Linked DNA regions of Saccharomyces cerevisiae S288C. The protein of the gene in region 2 binds, or shares a complex with, the protein of the main gene of each other region. Each region holds a gene or a part of one and is shown on either strand. Other genes may lie near its edges.

Evidence for each region. Proteins that work in one complex are often made in the same cells at the same time.
Region 1: TOD6 (region 2) and ASH1 share a complex: the UniProt entries of both Saccharomyces cerevisiae proteins name them as parts of the RPD3C(L) complex.

Annotation. Positions count from the first base shown.
Region 1 is NC_001143.9:92,636-97,284, reverse strand, and holds ASH1 (DNA-binding transcription repressor ASH1), read right to left. Parts: upstream 2,787-4,649; coding exon 1,020-2,786; downstream 1-1,019. Other genes in the region: ornithine decarboxylase SPE1, read right to left, coding at 1-528; MTR2 (Mtr2p), read left to right, coding at 3,987-4,541. UniProt on the Saccharomyces cerevisiae protein: Component of the RPD3C(L) histone deacetylase complex (HDAC). Responsible for the deacetylation of lysine residues on the N-terminal part of the core histones (H2A, H2B, H3 and H4).
Region 2 is NC_001134.8:115,578-120,221, reverse strand, and holds TOD6 (Tod6p), read right to left. Parts: upstream 2,634-4,644; coding exon 1,056-2,633; downstream 1-1,055. Other genes in the region: SAS3 (histone acetyltransferase), read left to right, coding at 1-843; YBL055C (3'-5'-exodeoxyribonuclease), read left to right, coding at 3,393-4,644. UniProt on the Saccharomyces cerevisiae protein: Component of the RPD3 histone deacetylase complex RPD3C(L) responsible for the deacetylation of lysine residues on the N-terminal part of the core histones (H2A, H2B, H3 and H4).

The sequences.
Region 1 (4,649 bases), on a different chromosome or scaffold from region 2:
CATTACATTTTTTGAAGCTGCATATCTAATGAAAGATGCTACTTTACAAGGATTAGCGTAAACAATTCTATCCGGCGAGATGTTCATCGATAATACTCTGTCAATTTCCACTTTGGAAGCGCAATCGAAATTAACGCCCAACTCTGCTAATAATGACAAAACCTTGGTATCAGGATTACATTTGACGGCATAAAATGGCTTAATTCTAGGAAGCTCCTTCACCCAGTTGTTGAATAATCTCTTGACTTCTCCCAAATCGCATATGAAAAACGAGTTCTCCTCACCGGGGTCGCACGTTTCATTATTAATTCTACCAATACGAGCCTTGAGCGCTTGAAATATTTTAGGATGCGCTTGTTCATGCGGTAAAAGTTCCAAATCTTGGTTATTCTTTAGTTCAAGCAAAAGATTGTGCAGCGTCTCGCCATCTTTATAATATTGCTTCTTTTGGGTAACCGTAGAATTAGACAAGTCCACTAAAGTAGTAGTGGAACTAGATAGAGCATTTCCTACTTGAGTACTAGACATAGTAAGTTTGAAATTCAAAGGTTTTGATTACTATGAAAAAGTTGTAGAACAATCAAAAAATCTTACCTACTTAAACTTGAAACAAAAGCCGTGCTGAAACCTGGATGATAAACCAAGGAACGAAAAGTTCTTCTGTCCTTTCTATTAACTACACTATTATGATTGAATTTTAAGCTTATTAGAAGCAGGTTCCGCTATTTCAGTGCAATAAATGCTTTTCATTTTCGATTTCAGAATAAAAATCAGGATGACCAATCTATTGCGCAGGAGAAGTTATTAGAATGATTTCACTTCGAAATGGGCGAAAATATCTGCACGGCGCAGATTAAAATTAATCGGTGAAGAAAACGAAGATGCCGCGGCGTGTCGAATGAAAATGAAAGAAAATGAATTTTTATTTGTAGTTTATTTAGCACAGACAAGGAGAGAAATGTACAATTGTTTCGTGATAATGTCTCTTATTAGTTGAAAGAGATTCAGTTATCCATGTATCAATTCTCTACTGTCTCAGTTATGTAATTACAAAATAAGCAACGGTACCCTTCAATTTCGCAGTTGCGTTCGGGGACGAATTCTTTGTCTATTCCATTGGATTTCATAATGTTTATTTCACCCTTTGTGGGGATCTTACGACATAAATCGTTCAAACATCTTGTATGTGTTTTTTTATATCGAAGACCACAAGAGTTACATAGCTGATCTTGCTTTCTTGGCGACCACGATGGCCTCCAACAGGGCGAATCACTCGAATGACACGACACGCACACTCTTGTGGTGTGACGAGTGGGTGATGAGCCACTGGACCTTCTACTTCCCTTTTTCGTTATGCTTGAATTTGATGATCTTCGAGGGCTTTGAGGGGGAGAGTCGAGAGCAAATCTATGATAATTGGGTGACCTTGGGCTTGGAGTGTATGCCTTGGGACGCACAGGTGAGGATGATCTTGATCTCATCTTGCCACTTTTCGTCGGTGTGGAGGGAGATGGAGATGAAGATGCAGAGACAGAACTGTAACTAGCGTTGTCGAGTTTCATCACCAATTGTCTTGCAGTGTTACCGAAAACATTTGATGCTTGCTTTGAGATTTTGTTCTTAGATGGTTTCCTTACATTAGATTTGGAATTGTTCGATAGAATGTCTCTATTCGCAAGCAATTTTTTTATTTGCAAAGCTTTGAAACTGTTCGTCTTTTTGTGACTGGCATTTGGCATGGGAAATGAATTTCCACGTAATTGTCTTTGATGTTTAACTTCTTGAACCAATTTTTCACTAATAATTGGATTGAATATTGAATCGTTATTGCTGGATTTCCCCTCAAAAAAAGAGGCCTCTACTCCTCTAAGCGTCGTGCGCTCCATGGTTCTATTGGTTGGTGGACTCATCGGCGGTGTGACGGGAGGAGTAATACTCCATGCATTGTTGGAAAGATCTTTAAATTGATCTTTAGCTTCTAGAATCGAAGGAATTAGTTTGGTACGATCAAATGATTCCTTAGACGGGGAATGGAACTTGGACGACCTAGTCGATTCCAATTCCTTGCCGTAATTGAAACTATCATTATTTTGATTATTAGTTAAGTTGGGTATACTTAATGGCTTGAAATGAGCCACTTCTTCGCGTATTTTAACATAGTCTTGATAGTTTGTATCCTTACACCAATGGGTAAGATCAGTTTTCCAATTAGATGTACGTTTTGATGTATCAGGGAAGCGTGCTGCGTTTTCTTGTAAAAGAGGACTGGGTAATAATTGCAGATGCCTTAGTGATGGTAGGCTTTGTTGTGGGCGCTCCGGTCTCTTAGATAAAGAGACGGACGATAGCCTGTCTAACAATGGTAGTCGAGGTTGTGAATTAGAGGAAAAACCTAAGCCAGACCCATAGTTCAATGGATTTGTAAAACTAATCTGAGATAAGCTTGCCTTGTTGAATTCTGGTGAATTGCCTGGTGTTAATGAGGAAATTGGATTGTAATCCATATGATGTGGCGATGCTGGTGCAGTATTTGATTTTTTTCCAAGTATTTCGTTAGCCAAAGATATTGGGGAAAGAATTGGCGACACATTGAGCGAATGAAACGAATACTTCCTAGGACTTGCTGAATTTATATTGTTATCGGTTGTGATATTGTTCCTGCTGATATTACTGGATAAATTGGAAAATGAAGGCAATAAAAGATTGTCATAATAGGAGCTATTTGCATGAGAATCCGGACCAGCAGATAATGCATGCAGTGGTGTTTTGATGTATAAGCTTGACATTTTTTTGCTTTTCCCGTTATGAGAAATGTTTTTTTTAGACTGAAAATAAAAGAATGGATAGTATTAAAATAGTAATGAACGTAATAAGGATAGGACAGGAGCGATAGGAAAAGATAGAATTTTGGAGCTTTTTTTCCCTCTTTTTTTGAGCAGGAGCCAATAGTAGTCGGAAAGATGAGTGTATAGATTTTTCGTATTTTATTTCGAGTAAAAATATCACGCTCTTAGGTTCAATAAAAGAATATACTATTTCTTCAAAATGCTTCTCTAATCTATTTTTTTATTTTCCTTAATAACTGAAATATTATTTTTTGATGTAAAATGAGTGAACAAGAATAAAGGATTTTTGGTATGTTTGCAAGTTCTGTGGAGTTCCATGTATAAGGTATACATATTAGAAAAGCTTTACGATTATATACTAACATCATGTACAAAACAGTTTAATAATGATCTGTATTGCTGGCTCAATCCACGTAAGGAAAATGATCAGCCCAATCCTCAAAAATAAAATGGCCCTTCCAAAATTAGAGACATATCGTAGAAATCAGACGCACGCTTGGCGTCAATATCCTAAAACGGAAAACTAATCAGTTAGATGTGTCTTTTTTAGGTAAAAAAAGGCAACCAACTTTTTGCTGGCTAGCGATGCGACAATAAACGCGCGCAGCGAATAAAAATAAGATGGCGGAGGAGCAGAGACTTCTTTTCTTAGAAGAGGTTTTGTTACCGTATGGGGGTATGATGGTTAGATGGCTGAATAAAAACGTTAATTAAAGGAATACAGAAGAGGAAGCGCCCCGATTTCTTTTCTGTTCCACATGAAAGCAGCCGGTTGGGTGGTAGATCTCTAATGACATCCAAACTACAAAACCGAGATTGGACATATAGCACACTCTGCATTTCTACTTTCCTTTCTCCCTACAGTTTGCTCGATCTGAACCGATGCTTCTTTGATTGGACAAGATGATAGACCATGACTCCCTGTATGTATTGCAGAGATTGCCACTACTAACCAAGAAAAGTTGAACGTGTCGTACGTATAAAACGATTTATGCTTAGGCTTTACTGAAAAAAAAAAAGTAAAAAGAGGATGCGCAAACGCATAGAGCAAGTAACTAACCTGTTTTTATAGTATATACTTGGCCCCACCAGGCTGATCGTCAGGCAAAACGCCAAACTAATAACAGTAATAACAGAAATATGAACACCAATAGTAATACTATGGTAATGAATGACGCAAATCAAGCACAAATAACGGCCACATTTACGAAGAAGATATTAGCGCATTTGGATGATCCGGACTCCAACAAATTGGCCCAATTCGTACAGCTTTTTAATCCAAACAACTGCAGAATAATATTTAATGCTACCCCCTTCGCGCAAGCAACAGTTTTTCTGCAAATGTGGCAAAACCAGGTCGTACAAACACAACATGCCCTAACAGGAGTAGACTATCACGCTATTCCGGGATCCGGCACGTTGATATGCAACGTCAATTGCAAAGTCAGATTCGACGAAAGCGGCAGAGACAAGATGGGGCAAGACGCGACTGTTCCCATTCAACCAAATAACACTGGGAACAGAAATCGACCCAACGATATGAACAAGCCAAGACCTCTATGGGGTCCATATTTTGGCATTTCCCTGCAGCTGATCATCGACGACCGCATATTTAGAAATGATTTTAATGGTGTAATATCGGGGTTTAACTATAACATGGTTTACAAACCCGAGGATTCTCTGCTAAAAATTTAGTGGGAAGATTCCGCTCTACCAGGGAAAAACAAAATTATATAGAAAAGAAGGTAAGTAATAAGTAATACGAAAAAACCCAAAAAAAAAATTCAAATACCCCAACCCTGT
Region 2 (4,644 bases):
ATTTACAAAACTTGGAGCTCAAAAAACTATCCTCGCGTCAAATATGACAAACTATTGTGGGAACCTATTATATTAGGGCCGTCATTTGGTATAAATGGGATGATGAACTTAGAACCCACCGCATTAGCGGACGAAGCTCTTACAAATGAAACTATGGCTCCGGTAATTTCGAATAACACACATATAGAAAACTATAACAACAGTAGAGCACATAATAAACGCAGAAGAAGAAGAAGAAGAAGTAGTGAGCACAAAACATCCAAGCTTCATGTAAACAATATCATAGAACCGGAAGTACCTGCTACTGATTTTTTTGAAGACACTGTTTCCTCCTTAACAGAGTATATGTGTGATTATAAGAACACAAATAATGATAGATTAATCTATCAAGCGGAAAAAAGAGTGCTGGAAAGCATCCATGATCGCAAAGGGATACCAAGATCAAAATTTAGTACAGAAACTCATTGGGAGCTCTGCTTCACTATTAAAAACTCCGAAACACCACTTGGAAATCATGCAGCTAGGAGAAACGATACTGGAATATCAAGTTTAGAGCAGGATGAAGTAGAAAACGATGTAGATACTGAATTATATGTAGGTGAAAACGCCAAAGAAGATGAAGACGAAGACGAAGACTTTACCCTTGATGATGACATTGAGGATGAGCAAATATCAGAAGAAAATGATGAGGAGGAAGACACATATGAAGAAGACAGTGATGATGATGAGGATGGGAAGAGAAAAGGACAAGAGCAGGATGAAAACGATATAGAAAGCCACATAAGGAAGGAGAGAGTCAGAAAAAGAAGAAAAATAACTCTAATAGAGGATGACGAAGAATAAGCGGCGATGGGTATATATTGGATATAAGCATATACATGTAACATTATTAATAGCAATAAGAACCCTTGTAGTCAATAGTATTACAGAATTCTCCTACGAATAAATTTTATGTGTATATATAAAGATATATATGTGTGTGTGTACATGTGTGGGTGCGATTAATTTGTACTCATTAAACGAATAGTCAAAACAAACTAAATTCGTCTCTTAGCTTAAAATATATTTTTAAAGATAGAATTTATACCTGGAAGTTCATCTTGCTCATTGCGTATGTCATTTGCGCTGGTCATAGAAGAAAGCTCACTAGACTTTGGATTATCATGTTTAGCCTCTAACATACCGTAATTTTGCGATTGCTGCGATGGCGTGTTAATGCCATTCTCCTTGTGCAGTGGGTCAATGTCATCCTCCTCCTCCTCGTCTTTGCATCCTTCATTTGTATGAAAACCACTTACACGTCCTTTTCTCTTTAAATAATCCATTCTTTGTTGGATTTCCAACTCGGATCTATTATTAGGCAGAACAATAGAAATTTCTAGCGGCGACAAATGGTTTTGTTTGTCCTTCGTATTGTTAAGTAGCACTTCATCATCTTCTCTAGACCACGGGTGTTTATTAGCGAATTTTTGCATATCTAAGAAAGTCCTCGTGTGCGTGATTTTGTCATTTGCGTGGTCTGTCTTGCAGTTGGGAGACGCTATGGGGTTAAGATAGTATTGGTGCTGTGGATGATAATGAACGGATTGCGATGTAGATAACCTTCTGGGTGACATATACGGGCTAACTACCAAGGAAGCTCTTCTAGAAATAGGCTCCGTAGGAGCGTGAGAGTTGAAGGATGATCTTCTTGAATGCATCATGTTAAAAGATGATCTTCTAGAAGAAATTACGGAATGCGAGTTTTTCCTAGTCTTCGTCGTTGAATGAGGGATTTGAGTTGAAGGAATAAAGGAGTTCCTTCTAGACCTGATAATAATTTTAGGCACAAGACCAATATTCTCATAATCATTGGAATTAACAGCTTTATTTGTCTTTGCTGAAGTAGTGTTATAAAGGCTTAGATTTGTCTGCTGAGCAGTCTTTACATTAGGCGTGTTGGTTGTTATAGAATGAGAGAAGGACCTTGGCTTAACAAACAGTTTCCTTGGTTTCGTGTGTTGTGGCTCATGGTCCGAAAATGTTGATGTAGATCTTTGAGTTATCAGTTTTCTGTCCATGTATTTAGGCTTAACTAATGGCTTGAAATCCGGTGGAGAATCCTCGATAGCACTAGAACCTGCAGTAATATCTTCATCCTCAACAGCTTCCTCTTTTACGGCTTCTTCCGCAGACGGAGTACCCGCGGATGGGGTAGCATCACCAGTCGCATACACGCCGAATAGCTTATTGATGTCAATAACTGCGGTCTTGTTAGACTTTAAGTTGCCTGATTTCAGTCTCCTCCATCTGAATTGACAAGCGTTAGGAGTTCTATTTGGGAAATGATGTGCAATCTCCTTCCAGCCCAAGTTCTTGATCTCTTTCAGGTGGCGGAGCTTGATATCATCACTAGGGTCCCAAGAAGAGGGGTTGTTTTTTTTGAGTGATTCCGCCTCCTCCTTGTTCGTGCTGTTCTCTTTAGTGCTAGTGCTACTGATAGGCAGGTGGCTCTTCGCATTTGTGTGAGAAAGTGAGTGGGAATGGACAAGATTATTTGGGTGAGGGTGTTTGCTTAGTATTGAGAAACCATGTGAGTTGGCACTAACATGTCCTGATGAAACAGAAACGCTACTGAGTTTCGGCAACGTCATCGCGAGGGAACTTCAATAAGAACAGTGATATATTCTTTTCTCTACCCACTGTCGTGTATATGCCTTCTTGAGTGAGTAGTTTTAATGACTCAAGCAGTGGAGATTTGCCAGATTTGTTTACCTGAAAACAAAATGATATGAAAAGCCTTTATTAATATCAACGTACAAAAACTATACACGACTTCTGTGTAAGGAAGTAGAAAAGTGTCTCATCGCATTGGTCTCGCATCTCATCGCATCGCATCTCATCTCAATTTTCAAATTTCAGCTCTCAGCAGAGAAAAAATTTTTTTTTCACCGGACCAAAAATAGCCTCTCTCACCCACAGATAACGTCGCACACTAACAAGATGATGAGACAAGATAGGCCAAACCGCTCAAAAAGGAACTCGAAGAAGAACGGAAGTGGAGTTTAACTTTAGAACCTAACTGCTACTAAGTGTTGATACGCTAGGCAAGACACCTGCGAAATCCCGCTGCGAAATACCTGCAAAGAGGTTGCTAAACAGCAGCCAGAAGACTTGCGCTAGTAACGTTCCTGAAAAGCTTTGCACTGCAGGCATTTCTGAGCCTTTTCCGGCCTTCTAGAAGGCTTAGCCCCTACTAACGCCGGGTTACTTAGAACAGCACTCTTCTAAGAACAATCTTTCCAGCATGCTGGAAGGGCCCAGTGGTGATGTCCTGGTAGCAATGGACAACTAAAGGTGGACACTTTCGCTGCCAAGGCATTTTTTTGAGGCGCCAGTACTGTTATAGTTATATGTGGGGCATCTTATTGAAATCCTCGAACAAAAGTTGTTCTAGGCTCTGGAAACCAATTTTGACACAATATTATAGCATGACATCAACTGCCACGGATTCTCCGCTGAAATACTATGATATTGGATTGAATCTGACAGATCCTATGTTTCACGGTATTTACAATGGTAAGCAGTACCATCCAGCAGATTATGTAAAATTATTAGAGCGTGCTGCTCAGAGGCACGTGAAAAATGCCCTTGTTACAGGATCATCCATAGCGGAGTCTCAAAGTGCCATTGAGTTGGTAAGCAGCGTCAAAGATCTTAGCCCGTTAAAGCTGTATCACACAATAGGTGTTCACCCATGTTGCGTTAACGAGTTTGCGGATGCTAGTCAAGGGGACAAGGCTAGCGCTTCTATTGATAACCCTTCCATGGATGAAGCATATAATGAGTCTCTATATGCTAAAGTTATTAGTAATCCATCTTTTGCACAGGGTAAACTGAAAGAGCTTTATGATTTGATGAATCAGCAAGCAAAACCTCATGATACAAGTTTCAGGTCAATTGGTGAGATCGGGTTGGACTACGACAGATTTCACTATAGTTCTAAAGAGATGCAAAAGGTTTTTTTTGAAGAGCAACTGAAAATAAGTTGTTTGAACGATAAACTCAGCAGCTATCCATTGTTTCTGCATATGAGAAGCGCATGTGACGATTTTGTTCAAATATTGGAAAGATTTATTGCCGGGTTCACTGATGAGAGGGATACCTTTCAGCTACAAAAGTTAGGTGCATCGTCGTCTAGCGGGTTTTACAAATTTCATCCAGATAGAAAACTAGTGGTCCATTCATTCACTGGTTCTGCGATAGATTTGCAGAAATTACTGAACTTATCACCCAACATCTTCATAGGAGTAAACGGTTGCTCGTTGAGAACCGAGGAAAATCTAGCTGTTGTAAAGCAAATACCAACAGAAAGGTTGTTATTAGAGACAGATGCTCCGTGGTGTGAGATTAAAAGAACGCATGCATCTTTCCAGTACTTAGCCAAATACCAGGAGGTTAGGGATTTCGAATACCCTGCATTCAAGTCCGTTAAGAAAAATAAGCTCGCTGACAAGTTGAATGCAGAAGAACTTTACATGGTCAAGGGCCGTAATGAGCCTTGTAATATGGAACAAGTAGCAATTGTCGTATCGGAAGTCAAGGACGTGGATCTGGCTACTTTGATAGATACCACGTGGAAGACGACCTGTAAGATATTTGGAG